Linked DNA regions of Mus musculus: all the other regions are reported to be linked to region 1. The links are microRNA targets in miRTarBase. Many come from high-throughput screens and were not tested one by one. Region 1 holds a microRNA gene; each other region holds the end of a gene's coding sequence.
The links. Region 1 holds the annotated microRNA mmu-miR-223-3p (UGUCAGUUUGUCAAAUACCCCA, at 2,113-2,134, shown strand). A microRNA usually pairs through its seed, bases 2 to 8, with sites in the 3' UTR of a target mRNA and lowers its output. Matches are read on the target gene's strand: a 7mer-m8 pairs with bases 2 to 8, a 7mer-A1 pairs with bases 2 to 7 and ends in A, and an 8mer does both.

Region 2: miRTarBase lists Paqr4 as a target of mmu-miR-223-3p. The part of its 3' UTR that is shown has no 7-base or 8-base seed match.
Region 3: miRTarBase lists Syn3 as a target of mmu-miR-223-3p. Seed matches in the 3' UTR shown: 7mer-A1 at 3,460-3,466 and 7mer-A1 at 3,510-3,516.
Region 4: miRTarBase lists Rgs2 as a target of mmu-miR-223-3p. Seed matches in the 3' UTR shown: 7mer-m8 at 845-851.
Region 5: miRTarBase lists Nrep as a target of mmu-miR-223-3p. The part of its 3' UTR that is shown has no 7-base or 8-base seed match.
Region 6: miRTarBase lists Gpr158 as a target of mmu-miR-223-3p. Seed matches in the 3' UTR shown: 7mer-A1 at 2,983-2,989.
Region 7: miRTarBase lists Mapk10 as a target of mmu-miR-223-3p. Seed matches in the 3' UTR shown: 7mer-A1 at 1,417-1,423.

What each region holds. Positions count from the first base shown.
Region 1 is chrX:96,240,772-96,245,074 of GRCm38, forward strand. Mir223 (microRNA 223) reads left to right here and starts at 2,046; the gene lies at 2,046-2,155. F630028O10Rik (RIKEN cDNA F630028O10 gene) reads left to right here. Exons shown (of 3, transcript NR_030718.1): 3 at 267-2,871.
Region 2 is chr17:23,734,185-23,738,487 of GRCm38, forward strand. It overlaps Paqr4 (progestin and adipoQ receptor family member IV), which reads right to left. Exons shown (of 3, transcript NM_023824.3): 2 at 3,956-4,177; 3 at 2,002-3,815. The coding sequence ends at 3,382. Pkmyt1 (protein kinase, membrane associated tyrosine/threonine 1) reads left to right here. Exons shown (of 8, transcript NM_023058.3): 3 at 1-132; 4 at 782-888; 5 at 1,016-1,188; 6 at 1,379-1,536; 7 at 2,140-2,217; 8 at 2,311-2,545. The coding sequence ends at 2,422. Among named protein-coding and RNA genes, the nearest start is that of Paqr4, 4.0 kb to the right of the region's middle.
Region 3 is chr10:86,051,921-86,056,223 of GRCm38, reverse strand. It overlaps Syn3 (synapsin III), which reads left to right. Exons shown (of 14, transcript NM_013722.3): 14 at 560-4,303. The coding sequence ends at 692. Among named protein-coding and RNA genes, the nearest start is that of Gm51812, 15 kb to the left of the region's middle.
Region 4 is chr1:143,998,138-144,002,440 of GRCm38, reverse strand. It overlaps Rgs2 (regulator of G-protein signaling 2), which reads left to right. Exons shown (of 5, transcript NM_009061.4): 4 at 159-325; 5 at 567-3,103. The coding sequence ends at 761. It overlaps Gm41964 (a long non-coding RNA gene), which reads right to left. Exons shown (of 4, transcript XR_878589.2): 4 at 3,770-4,303. Among named protein-coding and RNA genes, the nearest start is that of Rgs2, 3.9 kb to the left of the region's middle.
Region 5 is chr18:33,435,260-33,439,562 of GRCm38, reverse strand. Nrep (neuronal regeneration related protein) reads left to right here. Exons shown (of 4, transcript NM_053078.4): 4 at 724-2,544. The coding sequence ends at 849. Among named protein-coding and RNA genes, the nearest start is that of Nrep, 26 kb to the left of the region's middle.
Region 6 is chr2:21,827,349-21,831,348 of GRCm38, forward strand. Gpr158 (G protein-coupled receptor 158) reads left to right here. Exons shown (of 11, transcript NM_001004761.1): 11 at 1-3,196. The coding sequence ends at 345. Among named protein-coding and RNA genes, the nearest start is that of Gm39766, 13 kb to the left of the region's middle.
Region 7 is chr5:102,909,201-102,913,503 of GRCm38, forward strand. It overlaps Mapk10 (mitogen-activated protein kinase 10), which reads right to left. Exons shown (of 14, transcript NM_001081567.2): 14 at 1-4,127. The coding sequence ends at 3,985. Among named protein-coding and RNA genes, the nearest start is that of Gm30396, 280 kb to the left of the region's middle.

The DNA of each region.
Region 1 (4,303 bases):
AGGTGACTCTCCTTATATTGAAAAAAATCTGGATATTAAGACATGGTCCTGAGTACTTCTTTATCACCAAATATATTTTCTGATATGTGGCTTATTCTGGACATTTATAGATTTTTGGTAAAATCTTATACCTCTTTTACCAAGCTTATGCCTTTCAATTTGCGTCATGAAGACTGACTATGTAGTCATCTATGTCTTCATTCTTATGGGTCTGACTAACTTTAATCAACTAAACTTGCTTCTCTTATATGTATTCCTCTGAATAGGTGTGAACTGGAACATCAAGAATGAAAATGAAATAGTCCCTTACCCAGCTTAAGGACTGACTTCTCCATCAATCCTGGAAAACAGTATTTATAATAATCTATTAAGTCAGTGCACTAGAACTCTTTAGCCCCTTTCATGGCTCTTTTCCAGTGTTCTTGGGTTATGTGAGGTCGGATAGGGCAATTGAGAGGCTATGGATATCTCTAAAGTGTCTAGCTCTCCTTACAGCAGATGATAAGCAGAGATGCTGTCAAGAAAACCAAAACCAATAACCCATTACTCCTTTCTCTTTTAATCACTTTCCTTGGCTTTTACTAGCTCCAGAGTTGGAAATAAGGTCTCTTTAAGCTCCCTTCTAAAAAGCTCTAGAAGTCTCATCCAACATTTTTCAAGACCTTGAGATGTAAGATTTCTGTCTCTATTTCTAGAGAAGACAATTGATGCCCAAGAAAACTTTAAACCTGGGTAGGACAAAATTTGATACTATCAAGCATTTTGAATAACAGGATCATGATGCTAAACAAAATATCAAATAAATTGAGATGGCTTGGCTCTTCTGGCAGCTGCCCTGGTAGCTATGAGTTCAAACATCTTAATACTTCCCTGCAAAATCCACTGCCTGTTTTGCTCTTTGTTGCTGTTGCTCTCCCTTTTGCAAGGGAATATAAAAAGCAGACAAGAAAAAGTGGTGGGGTGGACAGCCAAGGGACACAATGAGCTGATGGATGATATAATTCCCAAACTGTAAACAACTTGTTTTATGACCTTTTGGAAGTCTTTCCCTAAACATCAGACTTCATTTTCTCATTTATAATCTTGAATGGGTAAAACTAGATGACTTATAAGGGCATTTTAATATCATTAATTCTTTACTGCTTATGAGAAAAGGCAACCAAGTTAGACAAAGCCGGCTAAGGCCACAAGAAATTACTGTTTCAATTCTGTTAAATAAATTATCTATCTTTTCCCCTGTTAGTATCTATCTTATATGTTTAATTTTAAAGCACATTTTAGTCACTTTTATTTATGTACAGGGGATCAAATACAGAGTATTGTACAAGTTAGGTAAGTGTTCTGCTACTGAGTTTTATCTCTAGATCTTGATTGTTTACTTTTTTGTTTGAGAAAGGGTAGTATTATATAGCCCAAATTGACTTTAAATCTGAGGTTCTCCTATCTCTGTCTATGAAAGCTTGTATGCACACATGTACTATCATACCTGGCTATAGCCACAATTTTTGAGTATTTGTTAGGTAACAAACACTAAATTAATGGCTTTATATGCATTATTACATATTCTTGCCATGATTTCATGGGCATTTTTGTGGCTATGGAAGAAGTAGGTTTCAGGGACATAAACTCATTTATTTAAGGTGTTCAGCTAGTTAATGGTAGAGGTAGAATTCAAATCCAGTTTTAAAAATCAACATCTAGGTACATAACCAGGGTAAACAGAGCATACAAGAAGTTGATAGGAGGAAGGAACACATAAATTGTCCCCGAGGACAGAATGATGACAATTTTTTCCTGTTTCAGCTGAATAGAAGAGTTAATTGAGGCTTGGGCCACCAGAATCTCCAGACAAACACCCAGGATCCCCGTTTTTGTTTGGAGCATTAGCGTGTTTTGTTCACTTCCCTCTTTTGGTGTGTCTTAGTCAGTCATGTTAGTGTCTGCCATTTGTCTCACACTTAGGGTAAGATATAATCACCCTATTTTTTTCTCTTTCCAGTTGCACATCTTCCAGCATGTTCTTGCTGCCCAGTGGAGGTTCCTGATCTGGCCATCTGCAGTGTCACGCTCCGTGTATTTGACAAGCTGAGTTGGACACTCTGTGTGGTAGAGTGTCAGTTTGTCAAATACCCCAAGTGTGGCTCATGCCTATCAGCTCCAGGTCCAGGACAGAGCACATAGCCTGCTGCCTACATATGAATGCTTATGAAACATGAAGCTCTCTGGTGTTATTCTATGTCTTTAAGGGAACTATAACATTTATTCAGAGAACATCAGAGTAGGAACGATGCAGCTCTGGGGTCTACAAGTCTGGTATGCATCTGTGTACATTGTGAAAATGCCATGGACTGCATAGTGGTACATGAGGGATACAGGGAATGAGAGTATTATTTGATTTATTATTAATGTCTTCTTTCACTTTCCTCTTCTTGCAGCCAGAATAGCAGAATTTTCATACAAGCATCATGAATTCTATGAGAAAGTAGGAAATAAATATCCACTGTCTGGCCTTCGGAGCACATCTTAAGCTACCTACATTTTCTCTTTTCCACTTTGCTTTTATCATTCTTAAAAGAACCTTCTTGTTTATCTTCATTGGGCTTTCAGACACTACCAAATTCCAATTCCTCTTGGCACTATTGAAAGTTAACCTATACTTTTCTTTACTCCTTGGCTAACCACATACTGGTATGTGCTATTATATGTCCTACCATCCAACACATCTTCTAAAGTTGTCAGTGAATTTTTCCAGGGTATGTTCTTGAATTCCCTATTATATTGTAAGAATCTAGAGCTTATTATATTCAGTTGATTGCTGTCTCTCATACCATTGTCCAACATTTTAATTATTAATAAATATTTACCAATTAATTGATGTTTTACTAGTCAATAACCTTTTGCTATATAGGTCAAATACCAACCAGGGTTTTGCGAAAAAAATAAATCAAACTGTGGGTATTCTAATGCTATAGTGTATACAAGATGGTAACCAAAATGGATTTTTTTTTCCTCTGAGAAATAAGATTTAGGTCTGGGGCAGGAGGGCAAGAAGAAAGAATAGACTCAGAGGGAAAAATTTTTTGAATTATTGGTTTACACGTGTCTTTTTAAACAGAATTTTCTGAGCCTTTAATATTCTATCATTGCACTGGGGTGAACTTCTAATATAGAACTATAAAATGAAGCATCTCCAATCCCTCTCTCCAGAGTCTAACATTTCATAACATATATTTTGGCAAGCTTCTTTAGAGAAATTCCATACTCTCCCTTGGTTCTGGAGAAATTCCATACTCTCCCTTGGTTCTGGAGATACCTACTTTCATTCTTTAACTTTTCACCCACTAACCAGTGACCTAAATAACAAGACCCATATTGTTACCCCAATTTTGCTCAGAATTGTCGGAGGGATGCATCTCTATCTAGGGATGACTTACTGGCTTACCCTGCATGGAAAAATACCATTGTTTAGGGACAAAGACCATCTTCAGAAGATGTCTGCAGCAAAGTACACACACTGCTAAAAATCCACAGGTCTAACCTCCAGTCTTTGTTCTGCCATTGACTTGATGTATGTTACTTTTGACAAACCTTCATTTCTCTCTGGGCTTCACTTCCCAATTTGTGGTATGTGAATGTTCAGATAAGTAATCTGTAAACATTTTCACATGCAAGAATAGGAGACATTCCTGGTGGTTCCAGTGTTGGGGGTTCCCTGAATTTGTGGCTCACTTTACTAGGGCAATTTCAATAAACATTCTCTCTTCAAGCCCAGGGATTAATTCTAAAGAGCAGAATGAGATAAAGGGTGTTTTCAAGGCTTTCAGGGCTGGACTCACAGATGTTTCATGAAGGAAGCTGAGGTTTCTACTGGGTGGTACCCAGGTTGTGGAGGCTGGTAAGTGAGATGGAGAAGAAGAAGTCATCTCTGACACTAATTATGCATAGCTAGCATTTGTCAAAGAAGAAAATGCTGAGATTTTGGTCATAGACTTGGCAGCATCAGTGGGGGTAAAATAGGGCAGACTGTCAATCACTTTTGTGTACTATTTTGACTTTTGCAGTCATTTCAAAGTGGGAGTACCTCTTGTTGAAACCTGATCTGATCCTGTGCATATGCAGACTACATAGGCAACATGGTAGTTCCCATGAAAATTTAGGAAGTTGATTCGACATGAAATAAATGGGGGGAAAGGAAGCAATGCAAACGTGGCCCCAAACAATTTCTTTACAAGGGAGTTTCATTCCAAAGTACATAGAGTTCCTTCTTTCCTTTCCCCTACCCTCCTGTTCCCTACACTTTTCT
Region 2 (4,303 bases), not on the chromosome of region 1:
CAAGCTGGGCGACTTTGGACTACTGGTGGAGCTGGGTTCAGCCGGTGCTGGCGAGGCCCAGGAGGGAGATCCTCGCTACATGGCCCCAGAACTGCTGCAGGGCTCTTATGGGACAGCAGCAGATGTGTTCAGGTGAGGCCTGGGTGAGGACTGTAAGAGCCCTTTGTTGGTGGCTGATCAGCAGACAGAAAGGGACTGCCTGATAGAGGAGCTCCTTCCTGGCACAGGGTAGGAGGGCAATCCAGCCTGGGAGGTGCTGTCACTCCCTGCTAGCTGAAAGGTTTCCAGAGTAAGCAGCAAGCCTGCCAGAGGCCCTTTATACTGTAGGCTAGCCGTCTCCTTGCAGCTTCATGGCTGTGCTCCAGGACAGGGAGAGTAATGAGGTGGAGGGACTTGTTAAGTCCACAGTTAACATCTGGGACTACAGCCAGACCCAGGGTTTTGAGACCATACTGGCTACTACTACCCTGCCTCAGTGTATTCTGTTCATCTCTACAGAATGATGATGCCAACCCTAGTAACCATGGAACCATTTGCATGTCAGTGTGGTTCTGATGGGCTAGCTGCTTGAGTGTGGAGTCCATACTTCAAGGTGTCCATCTTGACTGGTGCTCACTGGCCCTCCAGGGCTCTCCTCAAAGCTCCTTACCCCTTTCTCACTAACTTTATGGTTTATGGTAGAAGAGAACGGCCCTTTCCCACCAGAATGCTGGATAGGATTGGGATGTGTGTCACAAAGCTGACTCTGCCTCTTTTTGTCTTCGCGTCCTGTCCTTCCTAGTCTGGGTCTCACCATCTTGGAAGTGGCCTGTAACATGGAACTGCCCCATGGTGGGGAGGGCTGGCAGCAGCTGCGCCAGGGATACTTGCCCCCTGAGTTCACTGCTGGTGAGTGGTTCAGAAGAAGAGCCAACTATCACCAGCTTCTGGCAAGGGGTGGTGAGTAGTAGGGGGCACCATTGGACTAAGGGCCCAGTCAGTACCCTGCCCCGACATGGCCCTGCCTCATCGGCAGGTCTGTCTTCTGAGCTGCGTTCTGTCCTCGCCATGATGCTGGAGCCTGACCCCCAGCTTCGAGCCACAGCTGAGGCCCTGTTGGCCTTACCCATGCTGAGGCAGCCACGTCCCTGGAATGTTCTGTGGTATATGGCTGCGGAAGCCCTAAGTCGAGGCTGGGCCCTGTGGCAGGTAAGCCTTTATGGTGCTGGGCTACCCTACCCGTTCCTTGCCCAGGTGACCTTCCTGGCCTCCTGAGGCTCACTTCTGAACTTACTGTATAGATTACTGTTGTCCTTGAACTCATCATATTCCTACCTCAGCCTCCCAAGTGCTGTGATTCATCACAAGGCTTGGTTTCTGAGGCTCATTCTTTCTTTAGGCCCTGGTCACTCTGCTCTGCTGGCTCTGGCACGGGCTGGTGCATCCTGCCAGTTGGCTGCAGCCTCCAGGCCCACCGGCCACACCACCTGGCTCTCCACCTTGCAGCCCCCTCCTGGACAGCACCCTCTCCAGCAGCTGGGATAATGACAGCATAGGGTGGGTGGTGTGTGTGTACATCATTGTGGTCAATGCGAGGGGTCTCGGGGCCCCTGTCACACTCAGGGGACAAAGACTGCCAGTGTAGAGGTAGATGGTGGTCTGTGTAGGCAGCTGTGACATTCAGTGCACAACTGCAGTCCCCACCTCTGTAGAGGCTGTCCCTGTTCAGAGATAAAGTGCTGTCTTCCACTGAGTGGACACCTCCCAGCACCTGGTAAGTCCCTGTCCTGAGAGGATTCCCTTGCTCCCAGGTGTCTGCTAGCCAAGGGAAAGAGTGTATAATTAAGAAACGGCTGCAAGGAGGAACCTTATGCTCTCAGGATGCCTCCCATTATAGAAATATCCCCTCACTCTGACGGCTCGTTCTAAATGCTAGAGAAGCTTCATTTACCAAAACTCCACACCCAGCTCAGTTGGACCTGAAAAGGGACAGAGTTAACCCATGAATGTGGTCAGGCGGGAGAACTTGTCAGCTGCCAGTGTTTATTTCAAGTGTGCCTTGTCCCTTCACCAAGCAGAGGCCTGAAACAAGGAGGAGCAGGGCTGTTTATATCCTACTTTGCCCAACCGTCACCACCCTGCTTGTCCTCTTTCTTGTAGTCCCTCACTCTCCCCAGAGACCGTCCTGTCCCGGATCACTAGAAGAACCTCTACCCCTCGGGGCAGGTACATACCTAGGTGAGCAAGCCCGGGGTCTAGGCTTGGGCACGGTTTTCTTTAGGATCCAGTGTCTTATTCTTTTTTTCTTCTTCTTCTTCTTCCTCCCCCAAGGGATGCCCTGGACCTAACTGATGTGGACTCAGAGCCTCCAAGAGGTCCCTGCCCCACCTTTGAGCCAAGGAACCTCCTCAGCCTGTTTGAGGACTCCCTAGACCCAGCCTGAGCACAGGCCCAGCCAGCCTTGGTGCTTTTAAACCTCTGACCGTCTTGCCCACCTCTCCCCTGAAACTTCCGTGTCTAATAAAAAGTAATGCGTCTTGGGAACACCCAAGGTTGCTCATGTGGCAGCATAGCTCTTCTTGTCCCTTTATTGATGTTGCCTAGGGTCTTGGGCCTTTGGGATGATCTGGCTGCGAGTCAGTACCCTTGGGCCAGCAGGCTGGAGCCACCCACTGTATAGAGATTTCCTGAGCAGACAAGTCTCTGGTAGGCAGGTCAGTCAGACCATGGCACTGAAGAGCTGAGTCCTTGGTCCAGTGAAGCCCGAATCCAACACCTCCATTCCACAGCTGTGCCTGTTGCCTAGGAAAAGCAGCAGTTCCCCTCCTGTCTCCTGGCCAGATGATACAAGCAGGACCAATGTCCACTTGGCTCTGAGAGAAGCCTGGTCCCACTCCTCTGCATCCTCACTGCAGGAATGACAGGAACAGCAAAATTCTGGCTGCTGAGAGGTTTGACATGCAGAGCAGGGAGATGGAGGTCAGGAAGCAGGGTCAGAGTGGCTAGCTCAAGAATCCAGGAGCAGGAGGTGTAGTTATGTATGGGAGCAGCAACATAGGGGTAGTGGTTCTGGGCTGGAGGCTTGGTAAGTTGGCAGGACTCAACTGTCAGAGACTCTCACAGGTTAAACAGGGTAAATTGGGAAAAAAAAAAATGGTTTCCTTCTAATGACAGCAAAACAATGCCCAGGAGGGAAGATGGCAAGGAAAGTGGAAGCTGGGGTTTGAAGGCCTGGATGCAAGAAGTGAATCCATGGGGAAGAATGAAGAATGGTCTCCCAGCTAGGAAGTCCCATGTGCTGGTTCTTCCAGGGAACCAGCCCCTTGCAGACCAGTAGGAGGAAAGGTGGTGGAATTTGTCCAGGAAGCTGTGGGCAAGCCAGTTTGGCAGCTAGGAGGCAGCTCAGTCTGGGGGACAGGCATGGTGTGCAGCCCAGAGCAGGTCAGGCACAACCCCAGCATGGAGCTGGAGGATGGAGCCCACACTCAGCAAGTGCATGATCTGGTGGGAGTTGCCCCAGTAGTCGAAGCGACCAGGCCCCCACCGCTCTGGCAGGCGTGCCACATTCACCAGCCCTCCAAGCAGAGCCAGTGCGTCCATGCGCAGGTAGCAGGGCAGAGAGCCTGGAGCCCCTGAGCCCAGCCCCACTCCACGGGCCCCAAACACCAGCAGGCGGGCCCCAGCTTGCCAACCAAAGGCTCGAAGCCGGGCACTGGTGGAGGGGGCAGTGAGAGCTCTCCAGCCGGCTACACCTGACAGTGCAGTGTAACCCATCAGGGCAGCTGGGCGAAGCCACGGTCTGCAGGCCAGAGTGCAGTGGATGATGGGCAGGGCTCCTGCAGAGAGAGGGAGGGAGAGAGGTGGGGGGAGAGGAGAGGAGAGGAGAGAAAGGGTTTAAGTCCAAATTAGCTGATCTTCCCAACCCACAGCTCCCACCAGTGGCCCCTGCCGCCACCTCTCTGGGGCCCTGGCTCACCAAGGGTGTTGACAAGGCAGACTCCACACATATCCAAGGCAAGGAGCCGGGTGTACACAGGACTGCCTCCTTGGTGGCACATGAAGAGGTGATACAGCACAGAGGCTGCAGGGGGCACCAGGCAAGCCACACAGTGTGTACCTCCTAGCCAGCCATCCTTGCCCAGCTGACTCCAGGGCATGGTCATTGGCACCAACACCAGGAAGCCCAGCAGGGCTAGCCCTAGAAGGGAGGGAGAGTTATATATCAGACACAATCAGCATAAAAGGAGAATCATATCCACAAAGGTACCAACTGGAGCCAGGAAAATAGCTTAGTCGGTAAAAGCTGTTAAGCCTGACAACCTTA
Region 3 (4,303 bases), not on the chromosome of region 1:
TTTCTCACACAGCCCAAAACCACCTGTCCAGTGAATGATGCTGCTTACAGAGGCTGGACCCTCCTGCATCTATCAACAAGCAAGGCACTTCTCCACAGACATGCTCAGGGACACCTCTGATCTGGACTGCCACGGACCCTCAACTGAGACAAGAGCTCTAGAACAGGAACTGCCTGACTTCTCAGCCAATTCTGGGAAATCTGAGGGGAAAACTGGAGTCTGGCCTATCCAACTGTGGCTGACATGCCCCACAAAACACAGAGCAACCTGGGATGGAGGGACGCTTATAAGCAGTGCATGCTCCCTGCTTCTTGCTAGAAGGCCTATCTAAGCCAAATACTTGTCCCTAGGAACCCCAATTTCTGTACCTAAGAAGGGCAATACTACGCACCTTGCAAGTTCTAGGCTAGCATCATGTTCACACTGCAATGCCTGATTTCTGGTCTCACCATCTTTTAATGACCCCGTGCTCAGCCAGCAGGCTTCAGGGCCAGCCCCAGACTCATTTCCTTGGGAGCTCCAGCCTTGACCATCCCAAACTTTTTGCTTTCTGTTTCAGCAAATCTCAGTCCCTGACTAACAGCCTCAGCACATCAGATACCTCCCATCGAGGGACCCCAAGTGAAGATGAGGCCAAGGCTGAGACAATCCGCAACCTGAGGAAGTCCTTCGCCAGTCTCTTCTCTGACTAGCCCCTATCCAGGCTGGAAGACAGGCAGGCAGGCAAGAAGACTCGATCACTGGAGCCTTTCTCTGGTTCCCTCCTTCTCAGCCTTGGTTCCCAACGGAAATATGCTTCCTAAAGATGCAGGAACTGATGATCTACAGCCATTCCCCCCTCCTTGACCATGACATTCCAATGCTGTCTGACTGAATGGTAGCCTTGGGAGCCCCTAGGTTCCTCAACACGGGCCCTCTAGACAGACAAGGCATCACTACATCCACCATATGCCTGCTCCCCTGTCGCCGGTACCAAGTGAGATGTCTGTGTGGCTTGTTTTTGCAGTCTTATTAGTATTTTGCTTGCCTTTGGGCAGAGGCCCTCTTCTAGGCCTTGACTCACCTTCATCAAATGCATACATTATAGTCGGACCTCAGCAACACAAGAGGCAATACTTTTTAATGGTGGTTTTGCAAACAGAAATAGGGAAGCCCAGCCTGGGAGCCCACTACTCACCTGAAGCTAACTAATGCCATCCCTGCTGGGGGTAGGCTGACAAAGGCCCCCATCACAGCTGGCCCTCATGGTGACCTTGATGTCAATAGAAAGAAGCTAGACCCTATGCAACAAGTGGGACCTTTCAGAACAGGACAGAGGAAAACCCACAGAGCCAACAGCAGGAATCCAGAGGAGAGAGCTTGTGTTCCCAGGGGAGAGGGACGCAGGAGGATTGTGCCTGTCTGACCTCACACAGAATCTGTTCTTTTTCATCCTTAAGGCTAGATGGGAACCCAGAGAAAGTGGATGGCTCCCTGTCACAGGATCAGAAGACACAGTGATGGCTCAGCATCCTACCTGCTCTGAAAGAGGAGTTAGTAGGTCACTCAGTTTATAGTGGGAGATCCTTTAAAAACAGGGTGTGTGGTTTCTTTAGGAGCTACTGAAGCCTTTTGGAATTTCTTCCAGAAAAAGTTCCACTCCAACCTTGTTGTCGGCGTAGCCACGATGACTACGATGGTTTGCTGCAGAGCTAGGCAAAGTGGTCCTGATTCCCTTTCCAGTGGTCTTTCCCCTGCACCAGATGGCCTCCCAGGACCACATCACCAAGCACCTGGTGCTAGGAACATTGTAGGTGCCAGAAGCCGCCTCCTGGTCCCCAGACAGACCCAGAACATCAGAACAGAGCCATGTTCCTCTCTATACAGCCCCTGTGGCCTCCCGAGGCGTGCCCTCGCTGCACTGTCTGAGGCAGGGGAGTTATTAACTGAAGAAGCGTCTGGTTATGCTTGAGTTCTGCACATTGCTTGGTGATCATCTGAGGCCTCCTTGGGTCTCCAGGAGCATAGAGGCCATCACTATGATTTCTGGGGACTTTGTTTTCTTGAAACAATCTCACTCAGCAACTCAGGCTGGCATAGAATATATTATGTAGCCCACACAAGTCTCAAACTCAGCGATTCTCCTGCTTTATCAGCCTCCCAAGTGCTGAGATTACATTTATGAACCACCACGCCCAGCAAGCAATCCATCACTTTTGGGTCCTCCCAGCCCAGACATGAGTGGCAGAAACAAAGGGTAAAGACCCTGTCCTGCCTTGGACCACTTAGACCCCTGCATTTCTGCAGAATGCACCTTCCAGCTGGTTTCCAGCAGGGATCAGCTCAGTATAAAAAGTGGTAGCTTTGCCACTGGCTGCTAGAGATCCGGTTAGCCCTCAAGGTCATCCTCTCTCTCCTTACCTCTTCCCTCTCCCTCTTGATCAAGTCAGTGTTGAGAGCAAGCGTACTGGAGTTATTTCAGAAGCCCTCCTTGGCCTCCCTTTCCATATCCTTGGTTTGGAGTGATAAGTTGCAGCTGTGATGTAGGATCATGTAGGTCCCGTGACTGCTGAGGCCATCATTTGGAGCTGCACATACAGGACTTAGGCCCAATTGAAATTGACCAGAATCAACAGTAAATAGGCTGTGGTGTTAAGGTGTAGAGGCCCTCCCAGTACCAAGAAAGCCCAGCCTGTTTTATTGCTAACCTCCAGGAATTCAGTGTGAGGAGGACAGTCCCCGAGCATGGCCACACCCAGCCTGCCCACATCTCCCTCATTTTACTCAACTGCTCTTCTATCGCAGGATGAGGCTGCAAAAGCTTCCAGAATGCTTTTGGAGGCTAATGGGGATGACCCAGCACGTGGTGAGACACATGGCACAACTGCCAGTGCAATCTCCTAGACACATCTGCTCCCTGGTAAGGGAGGAAGTCTGGAGGCCAGCACCCCCCAAGCCATACTTTAGGTAGGTCAACCAAAGGAGAAAGAAGATCAGTCTGTGAGTCCACAGAACACTGCTTCTTCCTCCTGCCCCTCCCTCCCTCCTCTGCGCTTAGCTCTTGCACCTTTCTCTAGAGCCTCTGAAGAATGCGAGGGGAGACAGAAGGAAGGAGTGTGGTGTGGGAAGTAAGATTTGAAGTATCAAAAGAGAGTCTGTGAAGTGAGCTCCACAGAAGAGGATGTGGATGCTAATGCCTGGGTAATGACCTGAATGAGCACATTAGGACGTAACAGCCTAAAGCCCCATTACCTCATCTCGGACGGTAACTCTTGCTAGTTCCTGATATTTGCTTCAGTGACAGTCTGCTTCCCCACCAGATCCTGAGAAGCCAGGCCTTGCTCATGGGGCATGTGTGGAGGAAAATCAGAACACCAGCGGCACAGAAGCTCCTGACAATGACAGCTGAAGTTGCTCCTGAAGCGTACTCCCGTGCACACACACACACACACACACACACACACACACACACACACACACACTGACAGACACAGAGATAAAAACAGAGACAGGCAGGCCAGCAGGCAGACACTGACAGACAGGCAGGCAGGCAGGCAGACAGATGGACGGACGGACAGGTAGACAGGAGAACTTTGCATTCTGAACAAGGGTGAGAGGCACGCTTTGAGTGACTTAAGAACACAGGGAACATCGGTGGCAGCCATCACTCTACAGCACTCTCAGCCTTGTCTAAATGATAGAACAGCTCCTGACACACAGTGGAGTAAAAACCAACAGCAGGAAGTTTCTCAAAATGTAGGCCATGGCCCTGGACATAACTACTTATAAAGGCCCAGAAAACTTTGCTTCAGAGCACAGCACATTGAACTTGTAGTTAGAGAGCTCAAAGCCTGCAGCTGGATCAGCCCGCTGAGACTGGGCTGCATTCTGAAGCCGGGTGGGGAGCAATATATGTCAATCACCAGCCTTGCTAAGGACCCGTTCCTTTGACAGGCAGAACCAGTGGCTCCATAAATGACCATGTGGCCAAAATACTCTCATAGTCTGCCCTTTAAAATATCTCAGCAATCGATGACATCCCTCCAGGATCTCAACTACAGTAACACAAATGTCTTTCAAAATCTAAACCAGGCCAGGCATCCTGATTTTTATAACCATGCAAGTATGTCTACATCCATGATGCAACACTAGACTGTGGCCAGCACTTTTATCTAATTTCCAACTGGCCTGGGAATGAAAACAGAAGCCAAGACTATAGATACATGTCCGTCCAGTGGAGCCCACATCTCTCTCCAACGGACTGTTGTTCCCATAGCCTGGTACATGTCGCTCTGAAACCTGGTAACCCTCAGTAACTGTGACA
Region 4 (4,303 bases), not on the chromosome of region 1:
CAAACTTAAGCATTTTTGCCTACTGGCATCTTAGTGCTTAAAGAGCCAGACCTAGAGAATGACAGGCTTGAATGAAGTCTAGGAAACTGATCATTTTGTGCAGAAGAACTGTGTATAATTCGGTCGTTCCATTCATGCTGCTTTTCCTGTGCTTCCAGATGGGCTGGCTGCATTCAGGGCGTTTTTAAAGTCCGAGTTCTGTGAAGAAAACATTGAATTCTGGTTGGCTTGTGAAGACTTCAAAAAAACCAAATCACCCCAAAAACTGTCCTCAAAAGCAAGGAAAATCTATACCGACTTCATAGAGAAGGAAGCTCCCAAAGAGGTAAGAAGACAGGCGCCTCAGATCACCTTCAACACTGTTGAAACCTGAGACTTGAATACACCACATTCAAGCACAAGTGAGAAGAGCCCTGTGCGCCTCTCATCCCAGCTGTCCTAACATTTAAGTTTCTCCAAAGTTGACAGTTATAACTGATCACAAGTTACACCTTTATGTTTTATTATTAAGCATCAATCTGCAGTGTTGACTAGCCAATAAATGGACTTTTGTTTTGTTCTTTCAGATAAACATAGACTTCCAAACGAAATCTCTGATTGCCCAAAATATCCAAGAGGCTACAAGTGGCTGCTTCACCACAGCTCAGAAGAGGGTGTACAGTTTGATGGAGAACAATTCTTATCCTCGGTTCTTGGAGTCCGAATTCTACCAGGACTTATGTAAAAAGCCACAGATCACCACGGAGCCCCATGCTACATGAGACCAGGAGTCCCCCCACACACAAAGGACATTCCATTCTGTCTCCCAAGAGCAAAGGCTGTGACCTGCCAGAAAAAAAAAAAAAACTGACCTTGAATTCAGCCTGAGTGTTAGGAAAACATCGCTCAGAACTATTGATTCAATGTTGGGTAGTGAATCAGGAAGTCAGCAACCTAGGAGAGGCTCTGTGTGAGAACGGCTTCCCTCACTGTGTGAAGAACAGAGGGAGGGAACAGGCCTCTGAATGTGTTCTTCCTCCTTGTCGGGAAAGCAGAGTTTGAGATGAAAGATCCGATGCAATGTTGTTGGAGCATTTAAAATCAATAGGTCTGGGATTATGTGGCCTTAGCTAGTTGGCTGTACACCTTCCCTAAACTAGTCCATGTTACCACATAGTGGTGTTAGTTCTAGTTTTAATATTTTAGTACTAAGTAACATTACAATGTTTACTGTGTGCAAGGGTGTTGACGTTCTTAGGACTACAGATCATTAGTACTAGTGTGTCACGTATCACTGAAACTGAGAAGTATGTTTGAGTTGTTAAATGGTGTGTGTGATGGACCGAATGCTGTGCCGTGCTGTAGAACCAGCGTCTGTTACGAGTGCCAAAAACTGTCTTGCGGGCAGCTAAACTTTGAAGTGGTTTTTGAATACTTTTAATAAATTTATTTTGCTAAATAATGTCATTGAACATTTGGAAGTCCCGATGTGGTTCTGTTGTTTGATTTCAGTAACTGGAAATATGTCAGCTATCAGAGAAAAGAACTTTCTAGCAAAGAGGTATCAGTGTGGATCAATTGTTGTACCTGCCCACTGAGAAATCAACAGCTGAGAAGTGGGAAATGCTTGCTTCGAGGAAGATGTTCTCCTTAAACCTATAGACATTATGTAGTCTTAAAAACATCAGACCACATTCCTAGAACCACTCATTGTGAAAGTCAAATGTGTTATTTAATAAAAGAAAAAGAAAAAAAGAGCATTGACCTGTGTGTTAAGGACCAGCTAAATATTAGTAAGTAAAGTTACAGGGCCAAACAGCCTAAGAAAAGGAAAAGGTTCGTGTAAATGTGGGCCTGCCTGGCGTATGCTTGGTTCCAGACACCTGGCATGGGCAAGAACCTGGTCAGTTCTTTCTTCTGTGATGGGGCAATACGAAAACCCCAAGTTTCCTGCACCTCCTGCCTTCATTTGGCTAATAATCTGTGCTACTCTGGGTAACACTGAAGAAGAAAGCAAGTGCTTTGCTTGCACTAAATGCAGGAATATGTTCTAGCTGAGAAAAGCCTTCATTCTGGCTAATTTGGAGGAATTCCCTTTCTGAAGCAAATTTTCTATATCTGGAAGTTTTAGTAAATGGGAGGAGATGGGGGGCACCCTCAGCTTGAAATTGGAAGACCTTAACTCAATGACATCCCATCGCTTTGTGTCCCTGGGCCCTCCCTGGATACCTCTCTACCCATCTCCCTAATATACACAATAATGGGGACTTGAGAATTGGAACATACTAAATGGGTAACTTTTTATCTATTTGCCAAAAGAAATAGTCTTTATGACTACCCTAATTCACACCTTTAACCAGATGTCTGGAACAAGCACAAGTACAGGAGGGACAACCTGGCTCATTTCTGTATCACCAGAAGCCAGAATGACATATAACAGGTACAGAATAAAATAAATACCGTTGGCATAAGTGAGTTCTGAATTCATTGAAACAGTGATACTGTGATGGAAATATGACAAATATGCCAGGTCTCTATAGCGCTTAATTCATAAAGGCTTTGCCTAACAAATCTCCTTTGCCATTAAGTTCCATTTACCTCACACTCTGTGCAGCTTTTCCTCAGTCCCCAGTCTGATAGAAGATGCCACCATGCCTGCAGTTAACCCACCACTCTCTGCTACCTCCTACACCTTATATAGTTCCTTCTTAACGCTAGTGATGCTTTCAACACACAAACCTGATCTTGCCTCCTGTCACTTACCAACCGCTGACGGCTCTCCTGAACATTAAGATGAAAGCAGCATTCCTAATATAGCATAACCCCACAGGGCTGACTTCCTCTTACGTTCCAACCTGGTACACAATCCCCTGCACCAGCATTGCTGGCCGCCTTCCATTTGCTTGAAGATGCTATGTCCCTCAGCCCCAGGGAATCTTTCTGTCTAATGGTTCCTCTCCGCAGTGTAATTTTAGCTCTTGCTCACCACACACCTATCAATGCAATTGCCACTTCCCCAGGGAAGTGGACTCTGATCTCCTACCTAGACCACATCTCGTTTTAGATGTTGTCACAGCAATGGGTTCTGTAATTTAATACTTAATAAAGGTATTTCTCATTTTTCATAATTGTTTGATAATTTTAACTTTTTCAGTTAGATTATGAAAAGCACAAGTGAAGATCCTGTGCCTCTCTCTCTCTCTCTCTCTCTCTCTCTCTCTCTCTCTCTCTCTCTCTCTCTCTCTCTCCCCTCTCTGCAGATTCCAGCATCTGTTATACAGCTTGAGCAAGATGGATGGATAAATAGATGAATGGACGGACGGACGGATGGATGTTGGAAGAAACTGTACGGAATTAGTGAGATAGGAAGTATCTGTCAATGCACAGAAAGATAAAGACAAATTTTACTAGGGATTTTTTTGTTTGTTGTTGGGTGGATTTTTGTTTGTTTATTTTTTGTTTGTTTAAGGAAGAGATCAGATTATAATTCCCAAGCTAGTCCTAAATTACTACACTTGAGTGATTCCCCTGTCTCCAGGCTCTGAAGTATACGGGACTGCAGGCATATTTCACAATACCTAGCTTTTTTTTTTTTTTTTAAGTACAAGATTTGAAAATTCCAGTCTCGAATGGGAATGGTTGTAGATATTTTCAGAACTTTTTCATTTGACAATCAATCAATAAATATTTTTAACTAGGCATATTCCCCATGCCATTTGACCTTTGGTAGAAAGAAAAAGCCAGTAATAAAAATAATAAATAAATCAAAAGTTTCAACTTGCAGTGCTTTTGAAAGCATAAGCTTTATTGAGATGGTATTTTCCATGGCCTCTCGTGTGGAACAAACTGAAACAGATTTCAGATTAGAAACCACATACCTCCACAAATAAGTATAACTTACTGTTCCAGTTTCCCACAGTTCAAACACTCTGGACAGACAGTCCATTCATTTTGATAATTCTTCATTGTGAATGTATTTTAATGCCAAAGATTTTTCAAAATATAGTCATTTCACACAATCACCATAAAATAAATATAGCAAAAGTTGTTTTTATTGTCATGTGAGCACAGTGGGACAACAAATAACTTTCAGTGAAATAACCCAAAATGTAGTAGGAAAAACTTGTGTGGTACTTTTGTGCTGTCTGATTGTAGTATTCCATTGTTTGGATCTGGAGAGTAAGAAAAGGCAGAGGCTGGGAGCTTCTGTCAGGAGGACGGTCATCAGAGAATGTGGAGATGAGAAGCCTGCCCTATGCCAAACACTGTTTCCCTAGTCTGAAACTGCATCTGAGGGATTAGCCTGAGCTACAGAGAGCATTAT
Region 5 (4,303 bases), not on the chromosome of region 1:
CCTGTCAGGCTCATCGTTATAGTCAGCCATCCGCTGAGGAAGGAGGGACTTACAGAGTCTCGGGAGCCTCTGAATGTGGTTTCTCACTCTCCTCCTCTTTCCTGTAGCTGCTATCTGAGATCCTTTTATACCGTGTATCTCTCAAACACTTCCATCTTGGGTACCGTTTTAGTCCTGACTGTCAGCACTTGGATGAAGTGTGCTAATTGCTTTTAGAGTAAGGCTTACATTGAAAAGATTTAAGTATTGTGCTATATTTTAAAGTATTCTTATTGTGTAATAGAAAATATACTGTCAACCCTCCATCACATCACCCATTGAAATTAAAAATACATACACACACATACTTATATGGGTTTAGAGAGATGGCTCAGTGGTTAAGGTTAAGAACACTGTCTATTCTTGCAGAGGACCTGGGTTCAGCTCCTAGCACTCACATGGTGGTTCACAGCCATCTGGATCCAGGGATCCAATGCCCTCTTCTGTGCTCCATGAACACCAGGCCCACATGTTGTACACACATGGGCATGCAGGCAGACACTCATACACATAAAATAAGTCTTTACGTTCAGGAGAATACTGTTAATATATAAACTGTTTGCACAATAGAAAAAGTTCCAGGACAAGAAAGCGGTAGAGAAGCAAAAACCGTTAAAGATGGTTTTAAAAGTGTGACTAAGTATATGTTTGTGTGTGTGTCTGTTTGTCTGTCTTCTCCTGCAGGGAAGACTTCCCGTGCCTAAGGAAGTGAACCGAAAGAAGATGGAGGAGACTGGCGCTGCCTCGCTGACTCCGCCAGGCAGCCGTGAATTCACCTCTCCAGCTACCAGTTACCTCCACCCTTTTTAATCGTCCCACCTCCATTTGTATTGCATATGGTGTATGGGGTTTTGATGAGGTCTTGGTATCATATATGGGATTTTTTTTTTTTCTGTGTAAATCATCAACTATAAGAAGAAACTATGGGACTCTAAGCCTGGCTTTAGAGAATTTACAGTGGACAAATAGGTTTCATCAAACCAGTTTTTAATCATTCTGACTCAAGTGAAAACGCTCAGAATTTCACACTGTGAATCCACGTTTACAACCCCTACAGGTGGGCCTTCAGGCCTGGTTCGCTACAACAATGTCTTCCACAACTCAAAACTCCTACTGCGCTCAGATGACTGGTCCACTCCTGCCTTTCATCAGACAGCTCCCGACTGCTTCTTGCAGAGGCTGAGAGTCCCCCCCACGGTTTTTTTTTTTCTTCATTTAGATGTAACAAGCCTAGTAGTTTATGTTCATCAATTGTCTGTATATCTATATTTTACCCATGTACTCTTTTGATGTATAGAAGTAGTTTGAAACTCATTGTTTCCTTGTGGTAAGTGACTGAGACGCTGCCACAGGGCCTGAGACACTGATGAATGGTGCTATTTTGGACTTTCAACATGCTCCTTGGCGAGGTAGCTCTGGTGGAGTTGTTTTTATTTCCATGTTCTAAGAAGGTGTCGGTACTTTGTTTCCTGGAATGTTCTTCTCTAGACTGGACTGACTTGTTTCCCTTGTGTCTTGAGTGTGGCTTTCTTCTTCAGGGTTGTAGGTTGAGTGGATGCTACCAAGAGTGTGAGAGGCTGTCCTCTCGTGACTGGCCCTGGTGGATGTGCAGTCACGGTAGCGGGAGCAATCACAAAACTGTAATTGACCTACCAGATCTCTTCCTTTCTGCAGCCTCACCTGCCTGACTTAGAAAAAGAAAAGCAATAATTTTTTTCCAGGCGTTCTGAGGTTATCTCTTTGGATTCTTTTTGTTTGACTAGATATTGGGGGAGGGGGGATAAAAGTCCACTCTTTTAATAAGTGCCATGTGGGAAAAAAAATCCAAAGTGCTGGCATTTGAGTAGGAATTTGAAAATTATCCCTTTCCCAAAGTTGAAATTGGAAAAATGTCTTTACAAAATAGTGATGATGAAGGTGATGACTATGATAGTGATGACGATGTTGTTGTTGTTGTTGGTGGTGGTGGTGATGATGGTGATGGTGGTGAAAGGCAAAATACCTTTTTGGGGTGGTTTTGATAAGCAAGGTGTAGATTTTACATTTTTGTCCTTGCTCCCAATGAAATGGATAAACAAAAATAAAATCTGACAATGCCATCTCCTCACAGAATGTTGTTGTGTTAGCCAGACTGAAAGCCCACCTTAATTTTTATATAACGTCTTTGGCTCTTCCTTTGACAGGGCAGGCCTTGTTCTGAACTGTTTGCGCTTCTGACTGTTAAACACCAATGATGCATGCACTGTCCCTCTTCACTCTTTCTCTCGCTTCCCCTCTGGCTTGAGTTTCTTGTGCATTCTCGCTACCCCCACCTCTGTTAGGGTAGGTATATCAGCTATGTAAATAAAGCAAGGAAACGGTATTGTGCATTTGTGGCATTATGTAGAATTGCAGTGTGCGCTGCCGAAAATGCAGGCTTTTGTAACGTGGTCCTCTCATAAGTACCCAATGTATTTTAGCTATTTTAGTAGGATTTGTTCAATAAATATGCAAGCTATAAGGTAACTGTGCTTTGGCTCATTATTGTAGGGTCGGTCGGTCTTTTTTAACACCTCTGTCGATTCATACCACGTTTTGTGTTCCCAGGATCCCTCAGGTCAGACAGGCCAAGTGTCAGAAGGGTGAAGCAGATTTGCCTTTTGAAAATTTTCTCTCTTGAGGGCTTTAAGAGATTAAGGGAGAGGTAGGGGCTCATTAAGATGGTGTTAACAGCATTGCCCTGGTCACAAAGGAGAGGTAAATGCAAATCCTCCACTTCTCCTTAGGGCATTCCCACTCACCTCGAGACGCACGTTCCCACTCACCTCGAGACGCACATTCCCACACACCTCGAGACGCACGTTCTCATACACCGCAAGACGCACATTCTCACATACCTCAAGATGCATGTTCTCACACTCCCTTACCAGCAAGACCCACTCTGGGAAAGGTTGGCACCTCCACACAGACAAAAGACTCACATTTGTAAGAGGATCCAATTCTGAGATAGGCGTTGAAGCCATTGGTGTGCAGGCATGCAGTCACCCAGACCCCTGTGGGTGATGAATTGCCATCATCAAAGCCTTTTGGAAGTCTCAAGTGACTCTGAAAACTGGAATTTGGGGACCCATGCTCCATGTAGATAGACCCATGCGCTGCTGTAGATAGAATCTATGATTGACACATGCAAGGCGAGCTACTCTATAACTGAATTTTATGGTCAAACCCTCTTTGATATATTCTTTAGGAAGGGCAGGTGTGTGAGTACATCTCAGTTCTGAACAGAGACCTATGACTAGAGGATCTGAGGTTCTCAGCCAACAGCCAAGGGCGTGGGCATGGCTCTCCAGCTGCGGCCTCGGCATTGAATGTTTGACTGACGTCTTGACTGTTGAGAAACTCCTGCTGCATTCCTCATTCAGCCATCGTGGGACTGAAACGTCACCTTGACTTATGCAAGAGTTTCAAAATCAGCTGGTGGAGTATAAACACTGAGACACCTCACCAGAGGGTAAAGAACATAATTCTGAAATAAAAGCCAGAGAGAGAGAGAGAGAGAGAGAGAGAGAGAGAGAGAGAGTGAGTTAGGGGTGGGGTAGAACAGAGAAGCTTACCAGCCACACTCTGGGAGTGTGTCCTCCTCAATATGGGGGACAGAAGATGCTTTCTTGCTTTCTGGAAGATCCTCATTCCTAATTGTGCATGTCAAGAGGTATCTTATAAATTGGGAGGATGTTGAGTTTAATTCAAAATTAATGCACATTCCAGGTGAGATACTGGCACCTGTATACACACCCAGAGATTAATGCCTCTGAATACATGGGAAGGTCTCCTATTATTTGATTATCTTTTTACTTATGAGGAATCCTAATTTTCCTCACTCAACAACCTCCCTTTGCTTGGAGAGACATTGCAGCTATGGGGGATACACTCTACTTGGAGGGGCATTACAGATATGGGAGATACACACTGCTTGGAGGAGCATCACGGGTATGGGGGATACACTCTGCTTGGAGGAGTGTAACAGCTATGGGGGATACACTCTGCTTGGAGGAGTGTAACAGCTATGGGGGATACACTCTGCTTGGAGGATTGTAACAGCTATGGGGGATACACTCTGCTTGGAGGGGCATCACGGATATGGGGGATACACTCTGCTTGGAGGGGCATAATGGGTATGGGGGATACACTCTGTTTTATTGCCTTACTAAATTAAGACTTGCTAAATTATGAAAAGATCATGAGATGGGACAATCGGTGGCATTTCTCTGTTATTTTATTTCCA
Region 6 (4,000 bases), not on the chromosome of region 1:
CCAGTTCTCCCAGGGAGAGCCAGAGAGGAGAATGGAAGCCAGCTCTACACAACCAATATGTGTGCTGGGCAATATGAAGAACTGCCCCACAAAGTCGTAGCACCAAAAGTAGAGAATGAAAATCTCAACCAAATGGGAGACCAGGAGAAACAGACATCTTCCTCTGTGGATATCATTCCTGGCTCCTGTAACTCAAGTAATAACTCCCATCAGCCCTTAACATCACGAGCCGAAGTGTGTCCCTGGGAGTTCGAGCCCCTAGAACAACCAAATGCTGAAAGAAGCGTAACTTTACCTGCCTCCTCTGCTTTAAGTGCAAATAAGATACCAGGGCCTCAGAAATAGGAAGTCTGGGACACTTTCAAAGTGGACCACCCTGGGAAGAAAGGGGTAATCCCGAGTTTGATAAAAATAGATCTGAAAATCACAAGTTACCAAGGCATCTTTGTTAGCCTAGGGAAACATGGCACATAGTGCAGTAAGGTGAAGGCAAGGGCTGGAGAAGGCCAGAAAAAGGCAATTATGCATCATAAGAAGGAAGGCTGACTCTGCCATGAAAAGCCAGATCAACACTGGAGGACAGCTTAGCATTTCCGCCTGTTTAAGGGACATTGCCCTGTCTGTCTTTACACATGGGATTGAATGGTACCAAGCAAGATTCACCAGGAGGCATGGAAGACAGACGCATGGATTTTAAGATGGGAAAACTTAGATAAATGTGACTGTGATTCTAAGTAGCTGACTGAAAAGCCAACCTTCATTACCTATTTAACCTTGGTAGCACTGCTAACTTAATGCACCCTGATACCTTTTATATACACGATTGCTCTCATTTTCTTAAAATCTGTTCCAGTACATTGTTGTGTCTTGTATTCAAGCATTCCAGATTGTATAATTTTTGCAAATAACTTTGATATTATATGACACAACACATTTATGCAATCTGCAGCTACTCAATTGTCATTGCAACCTACCAAATACCTGCTATCATCTACCAAGTGTGGTTGAGTCTTGGAGTACAGTAAGCTTTCTCTGGCTTAGGAAGCCATAACAGTTAAGATGAAAACTTTTAGTTTGGGCTGTGGTTTATATAGTGAAGTTGGGTCTGACTCTTTTGTTTCCCACCATGGCTTGTTGTAATGTCTTAATTTTTAAATATAAGTTGAGTTGCTTATTCTACACTTCTTGTAGGGACTCTGAAGCTTTATTAATCTCGGAGATGAAGTGGTCCTGTTTAGTCATATGTCTCAGTAAGTTAAGGACAACTTATCCATTGTTTGTTCCAAGTCAGAGCTAAATCAACCCAATGACTCTTTCAGTATTTCACATTAGCATTTCCTAAGGAAGAAGCCGAATGAGGAAACTATGCTGTACATTGTTACCAACAGAAGAGGCCAACTCTAGGAGCGCCTTAACAACGAGTGCATACTGCAGGTCCAGGAAATTGCCTTTCATGACAAATACAGAAAGGTCGCTCCTAATAGCTCCAGGGATTATTTTTATAAAGAGAAAAATTAATGATAGCATCAAGATCATTGTATGGATATATTTTTATTATGCATACTGAAAATATATTTTAAATTACCTTAAACTATTTATTCTCATAAACTTTTATTCATTGCTTCATCTAGGTACAGAATTTGCTGGGCTCAAATCCCAAAGAGATTTTATAACTTGATTTACTCAAAGCCCATAGGTGGTACAGGCTCTTTACACTCCCCAGTACCAGAACTTACAAGTCCTTCAAACTGTCCTTGCAAGCCACCTAGCTCAAAATGCAAAGCCTAAGATTGGTGTGCATACATCAAAGCATATCTTCTAGAACTTGCTGCATTCCATGCTGATCTCTAGCATAAACATCCTGAGCTTCTGACTTAGCTCTAAGGATTGCAATGCCGAAATAAGACTCTAAAATCCAGGCACATTTCATTTAAAGATCTATCACTTAAAACTACAGCCCAGGCTTGATTTTCTCCCATCATAAATACTAAACAACTGCTTATGTGACGAAGACATTTCCATCCATAGGAACTGTTTTACCTTTGGTGAGCAACAAAAAGAATTTGCTAGGATGATGCAGGAGGGGAGAAGGAATCAGAAGGTGGATATAAGGCTGTGCTTATGCTTTGTGTCTATCATCAAACTTTGCTCAGTGTTTACTTTTGTATTCAGGAGAAAGCAAGCACTTGAGGAGTTGGCAGAGCTGGGCATACCCATTTGCTTGCTTCATTCATTACTCAGGTTGGTGGGCTAGGTTTGGAAATCTATAGAGATTTTATTGCTAACTGCTGCCTTCATTAATCCCTATCATCCCCACCCTTCCAATCAAAGCCTATCTACTTTGTGACTTTAGAATTCTATTTTGAGGAGCATTTGTGAACTTGGCTTAGAGTTTGTAGACTTGCGTACTTGTTTCACTTGTGTCTGAGAGCTGTTAGCACTAGATTTGCCTCAGAATTAAGCAGGCAACTGTCACTGACTTCACTGCACTTCAGGGTGACCCTGCTTGATGTGTGGCTCACAGAAGATTTGCCAAATTATACCATAGTGACAGTCTGCCCCTGCCCCCCATAGATTACTCTCCACCGCCACAAATCAGCACAAATAGCTAGGTTCTTTCCTAGAGCTTCATTTTCATAACTTATCACCAAAAGAAATTGAACTCTGTCATTCTGGAAGCTCTTTTCCCTGGCTGAGAACAATAGAAAGTGCATACAGTGTGAAGGTCTCACAAACATTTGCTAGGTTGTCCTTTCAATGCATGTGCAGGCTGCACCCTGTTGTTGTTTTAAGCCAGGGTTTATAAATAAGTAGATTTATATCTGTCTTAATAGAAGTGTATATTTTATGCAAGAATTAAATGCTTTACAACATAAATTATGACTTGACCTCTCGTAAACTTCGGTGGCAATACGGATTGAATCCCGACAGTTGTCTTGTATTTGCTTCCTAGGTTTCTGCATGCGAGTGGTGATAGGTAGGACTGACAACACACTGCCTTTGACTTCTAGCACTTAGCAGTCAAGAGTTGTAGAGTCAACAAAGCTGTAAGTCTCTTCACTTAACCTGTGGTTCTTCTAAAACTATTATCTAAATCTACAGCATCCCACCATGGAATACCTGGTAATTTATGTTGTGATGTGTTGCAGCATGTAAATAACTATAACTTCTCTGCAATAAAACATTTATATGAAAATGATTGGTGTGTTCATGTCTCAAAATTTGACCATATTTATGCAACTTATTCAAAGGAATTACATATAGCTTTATGACATTGGTTCCCTCTGTGTATGTGTGTGTGTCTTCTTGTTGCCTTCACAATGCTATCGCATTGTGTGTATGTGATGTTAGTGAGTTGTTTGTGTGTGTGTGCATCTTCTTGTTGCCTTCATAGTGCTGTTGCATTGTGTGTATGTGGTGTGATTGTGGTGTGTTTGTGTGTGTGTGTGTGTGTGTGTGTGTGTGTGTGTGTGTGTGGTGTTCATTCGGGTCCTAGTTTCTTTGTTCTAAATTTAAAATCTGTTGAAAGTTCTTCACTAAAATGTTTCGATAAAAATGTATTTCACCCCACATAAGCTGGTCAAGATGTTATGTATTTTATGACATTTTCCACCATGAATATTTGCAAAGACATTTGCAAAGAATATTGCTCCAATTTTGGGCTATTTTTCTTTTTAAACATTTGTTCATAGAAAAGTGGAGGGCTAAGTTCAGGAACACTGTATGTTCAAATTTACCGTTAACTGAGGAGAAGGCAGATAATGGAATGTTTAAGCAGGTTTCTAATTTCTGTCTCTTCTTTTGTGGTGTGAAAGCCATAAACTTACAGAAATAAAACTGTCTAATGAAATGAACGTGGAAAATAGGAGATAAATATAGGATAAAGGCTGTGCTACTGAGTACTCACAATCTAGAAAGAAAAGTAAATGGGGCATGAATAAAAGTCCATGGCAGTCATGTAGAAGATACCACTGTTTCAATTCAATCAACAACAGAAAAG
Region 7 (4,303 bases), not on the chromosome of region 1:
TAACAAAGATCTCTCTGGGTGCCCAAAGAGGAGATACCGTTTATATTTTAGTCGCAAGGAAAATGACTGATTTGGTTGTTTACATTCTCCATTTTTAGTTTGTTTAGTTAGTGCCATTTCTAAGGCTACACGTGGAAGACAGTGGACTCTTGAAGTTAACATGTGCACGTATCCATGAGGGCAGGAGTGTTGGAGTGGTGAGAGGATTGCTCTTCAGACCCAAAGAAGCTGGGATCAAAATCCACACCCCCCAAAGACTTCTCTGCTCTCTCTGGATCATAAACATTATCTTTCCCAGCAAAGTTAATTAACAAAATTCTTTACAGAACACAGTACGTTCTTATTTGCTAAGAAAACGGAACAGCAGTAGATTTTGTATAACCTGGCCTCTGTGGTAAATACTTAAGAGCTGTAGAATGAGACCAGTTAGTCTTTGCCCTAACAGATCACAGAATGATGTCTTGTTCATGCATTCAGTTTGTTCTATGCTCCATGACCAAGTCTCTCTCATCTACTGGTCAGCTGTTATCGGTGCCTTTATATGATACTCGTTCTGGTAGTGATAACTGACTGAGAGAAGCCAGCCACGCTACCACTGAGCCATCAAGTGAGCATGTTTCCTCCAACTGCTAAGACTTGGCTACATCCTAGTCCAGCCCTGGGATAAAGACCTATGAAGCTCTAATGATGGATTCTGAGAGATGAAGTATTAGTTTCCATCTTTATTGCACAAGAAAAAAATTGGGCTATAAGGTCAATGTATCCCATTGGAAAAAATGATCACACTGACCCACCAAACACTCCCTAACCAGCAAAAAAATACACCCTCTCCCTTTCTACAGAACACCATGGAACATATTAAGGACCAAGGTTGCCTACTGAAGGGACAGATTTGTAAGTCCTCACTATGCCAACCTTCTGTTGCAAAATGAATACATGAAGCTCCTTTGAATCTTCCACAAACACAGTCCAGGTCTCAGAACAGTTCTCTGCCCCCAAAACAAGAACACTCTTGTGTGTAACCGATATTACATAAAATAAATACTGGGTTTTTTTTTTTCCTAGCAAGACCCACTAGAGGGCATAATGTATACTGTGAACATTCTCAGAGCATTGGGGGTCTCAATGGGAATGTTTTGACATTGACCCTCAGGGTTGTTTCTCCTCCATCCATCCCTGGCTTAGCTAAAAACCAATCCTTCATGAGATCCAGGAGCTAAATGTTCATCTTTCCCTCAATGTGCTATTTAAAACCCAAGAGATTTGCTTCCTATTTTCTTGTCCATGGGGGATCTCTGTCCAAGGGTGCCGGCCACTAGGAGACGTGCTACTGGTACCCAGGCTAACCTGAAGGAGGGGAAGACGAGGTAATCTGATTTGCCTGCTTTCATCTACCCAGTAGAAATGGTCAGCACTTGTCAGTAGGATCCTGACTGTTAAGCACATCCGCCATTCCGCTGAGAGCCCTGCCTGTCTGTCACCATCTTGATTATTATGGAATTCCCCCTTGAAACTTGTTTCTATCAAGCAGTTGTCTGGGCATTAATCTGGTGTGATATAGGGTGAGGGAGTGCAGAGATCACACTCATAAAAGCAAACTACAGAAAAAGAAGAGAATACAGGTAAGTTAAGAAATAGAAAAAAAAAAAGAACGAAGGTAGATGGGAAAGGGAGAGAGATCATGAAAATGAATCAGTGTTTATAAAGATCACTTTGTCCACAACATTAACCAAAAGATCCAGCTACAGACGGATATCTTTATCCAGGGGAATGAGCTGCACCCTCTAAGATCTGAAGGTAGCTAGCTAGCTCCCGCCCACCACTTCTCTTCTCTCCCTTTTCAATATCACGTCTTGCAATGAACCGTGCTGTGGGAAGCAATCCCAGGAATGGCCACACAGCAGTGTGTTGTCTGTATGTAGTGTGTGTGTGTGTGTGTGTGTGTGTGTGTATTTGTTGGGAATGGAGGGATGTGGTGGTGGCAGGAGTTGGGGATGGGTCTGAGGCTTCTGACTGACTATTGCTTGAAGAGAGAAGATCTTCCACGCTGTTGGGTTTAAGGCAGTTTGCAGAGCCCCGGCATTGCTGTTTCCTCTGTAGTCAAGGCTTTCCCATCTGCCAGGCCCATTACCTTCATCTGCTCACACGTTCCACTTTTCCTCAGGTGAAATATCACCACAGGGGTGAGCACCAAAGTGGCCAGAGTGCAAATAACTGTAGTGGATGCTTCACCCAAGGGAGGAAGAAGGGAAGCCAGGCCTGGCCTGTTATTGCTCAGAAGCCACACAGGCATTGCCTTGTATATAACCACGATGTTTCACAGTGCCTCTCTGAGTGCTCAGATAGGATCTCTCGGGGATTTGAGCTAAATTCAGATGATTTCACTAAACACACAAACGTTTCATGGCTTTAGGACAAAGTCGCTGCTAATGCTAGCTAGTAGGAGCTACGTTGGCACGGCGTTATTGCTCTCGTGTATCTACTGCAGTACAAAAGTCAGGTTATCAGCCCTTCTCAGATTACACACATCTATGAAAATACATCAATAAGTATGAAACACCAGTCATACCAAGGGGCCTGGGAAATCCCTCTGAGGGAAAACACAGCCCATGAAGATGCTTGGAGATGCTATCCTGAAGATCTCTCTGTGTGCTTTGGGGATTTTATTTTAATTATGTTATCCAATTCCAGAAGAGGGAATAAAATATCAGCAGGGGAGGACTCTGGGAAGCAGCTCACACATGGGAAACATGCCCTATAATCTCCATCAATCTTCTCTAAAGTCAGTCACATGAAGGTCTCTCCACTGTGTCTCGGGAAAGGGCTTTTACCACCCGGGATTTGTGCACAATGATCCTGTCTTGACGCCTGTCCCTTCCTTCAGCAACTTGCTCTTTTGACCGTAATTTTAAAAATAAACAATAGTGTCCAATGTTTAGAACACAGATGCGCCATCCCCCGGCCCCTGGGCAGTGGTTTCCTTCCGTTCAGTCTATACTGCAGCAATACGCTCTGGTCCCTGCTACTCACTGACTTCCAGAGAGAGCGCCCTTGGCTTTGACTCACATCTTCCATCTAAAGGACAACCCTATTTAGAACCTGAAAGCTATTGCTCCCTCCCTCCCCCCACCCTGGATTTAAGCATCACATATGTTCTTTCTACAAATTGGTATACAGGTGCCATTTAATCGGTTCAAATTCGGAAGCTACATCTTCAAGGGTCTGAGAGTTCACGCCTCCATTTTCCCCCTTTACATAGTCTCTTATAAGACATACAGCTTAATCAATTAACAAACTAAACAGCTTATATACTGGCAATATATTACAGATGGATTTATGTCAGAGTAATAGATCACATGAAATGGACCATGTGGTACCCCGGTGTGTGTCTTGGTGGAGCCTGGAGGACACTGACAGGAGCATCTCTAAGTGCTGTTTGAATACAGACACATGCGGGATCTGTATCTACATCCATCTGACTAGGCCGGAAGAGCAGGTAGACGCGAGATAGAGACACACACATGCTGGGCGGGACCCGTGCCCACCTCCTCATGCCATTTGAAGGGCAGTTACAGGTTGCTGGTTCTGCAGCCACTTAAGTTACACTTTAGGGAAAGGTTTCTCTAATTGTGTCTGATTTGTCTTGTGTAGTAAGCACTGCTGGAGGGAAACCAAAGCGAGCGCAACTAGAAGTTAAGTATACATTTCAGCTCAGCTGTGATACAGAACTTTGGAGAAGCACGCAGAAAAATTTAACTTAATTTTATGTTGGATCTCTCTATTGTTATTTTTTTCTTGACCTTTCGTGAGTGCGTTGTGACAGTGTGTGTGTGTGAGAGAGAGACAGTGTGTGTTTGTGTGTATGTGTGTGTGTGTGTGTGAGCAAGCTGAGTGTGTGTGAGAGCAAGCTGTGTGTGTGCATGTGTGCTGTGTTCTATCGCGTCATCTCCTGAAGAACGCTGGGTTTCGCAGGCAGGCGGCTAGTCACCTGCAACAACCCAACGGTCCCGCCGAGGCCTCCAGGCTGCTGTCAGTGTCAGATGCGAGGGTCTGGTCGGTGGACATGGAGGAGATGTCGTTGACAGACGAGGATGGAGGGAGACTCTCACTGCTGTTCACTGCTGCACCTGTGCTAAGAAAATGAAGACCAACATGACTAAATCTGGAACCAGACCCATGTGCTCAGGATGTTCAGTGTGGGGATGGGTATAACAAGAAGAAATGTCTCTTCTATCTCTTTGGCAGACCTTCATTGAACTGAACTTGATGGTGGAACTCAAGGAGACACAATTCAGAAACCCCA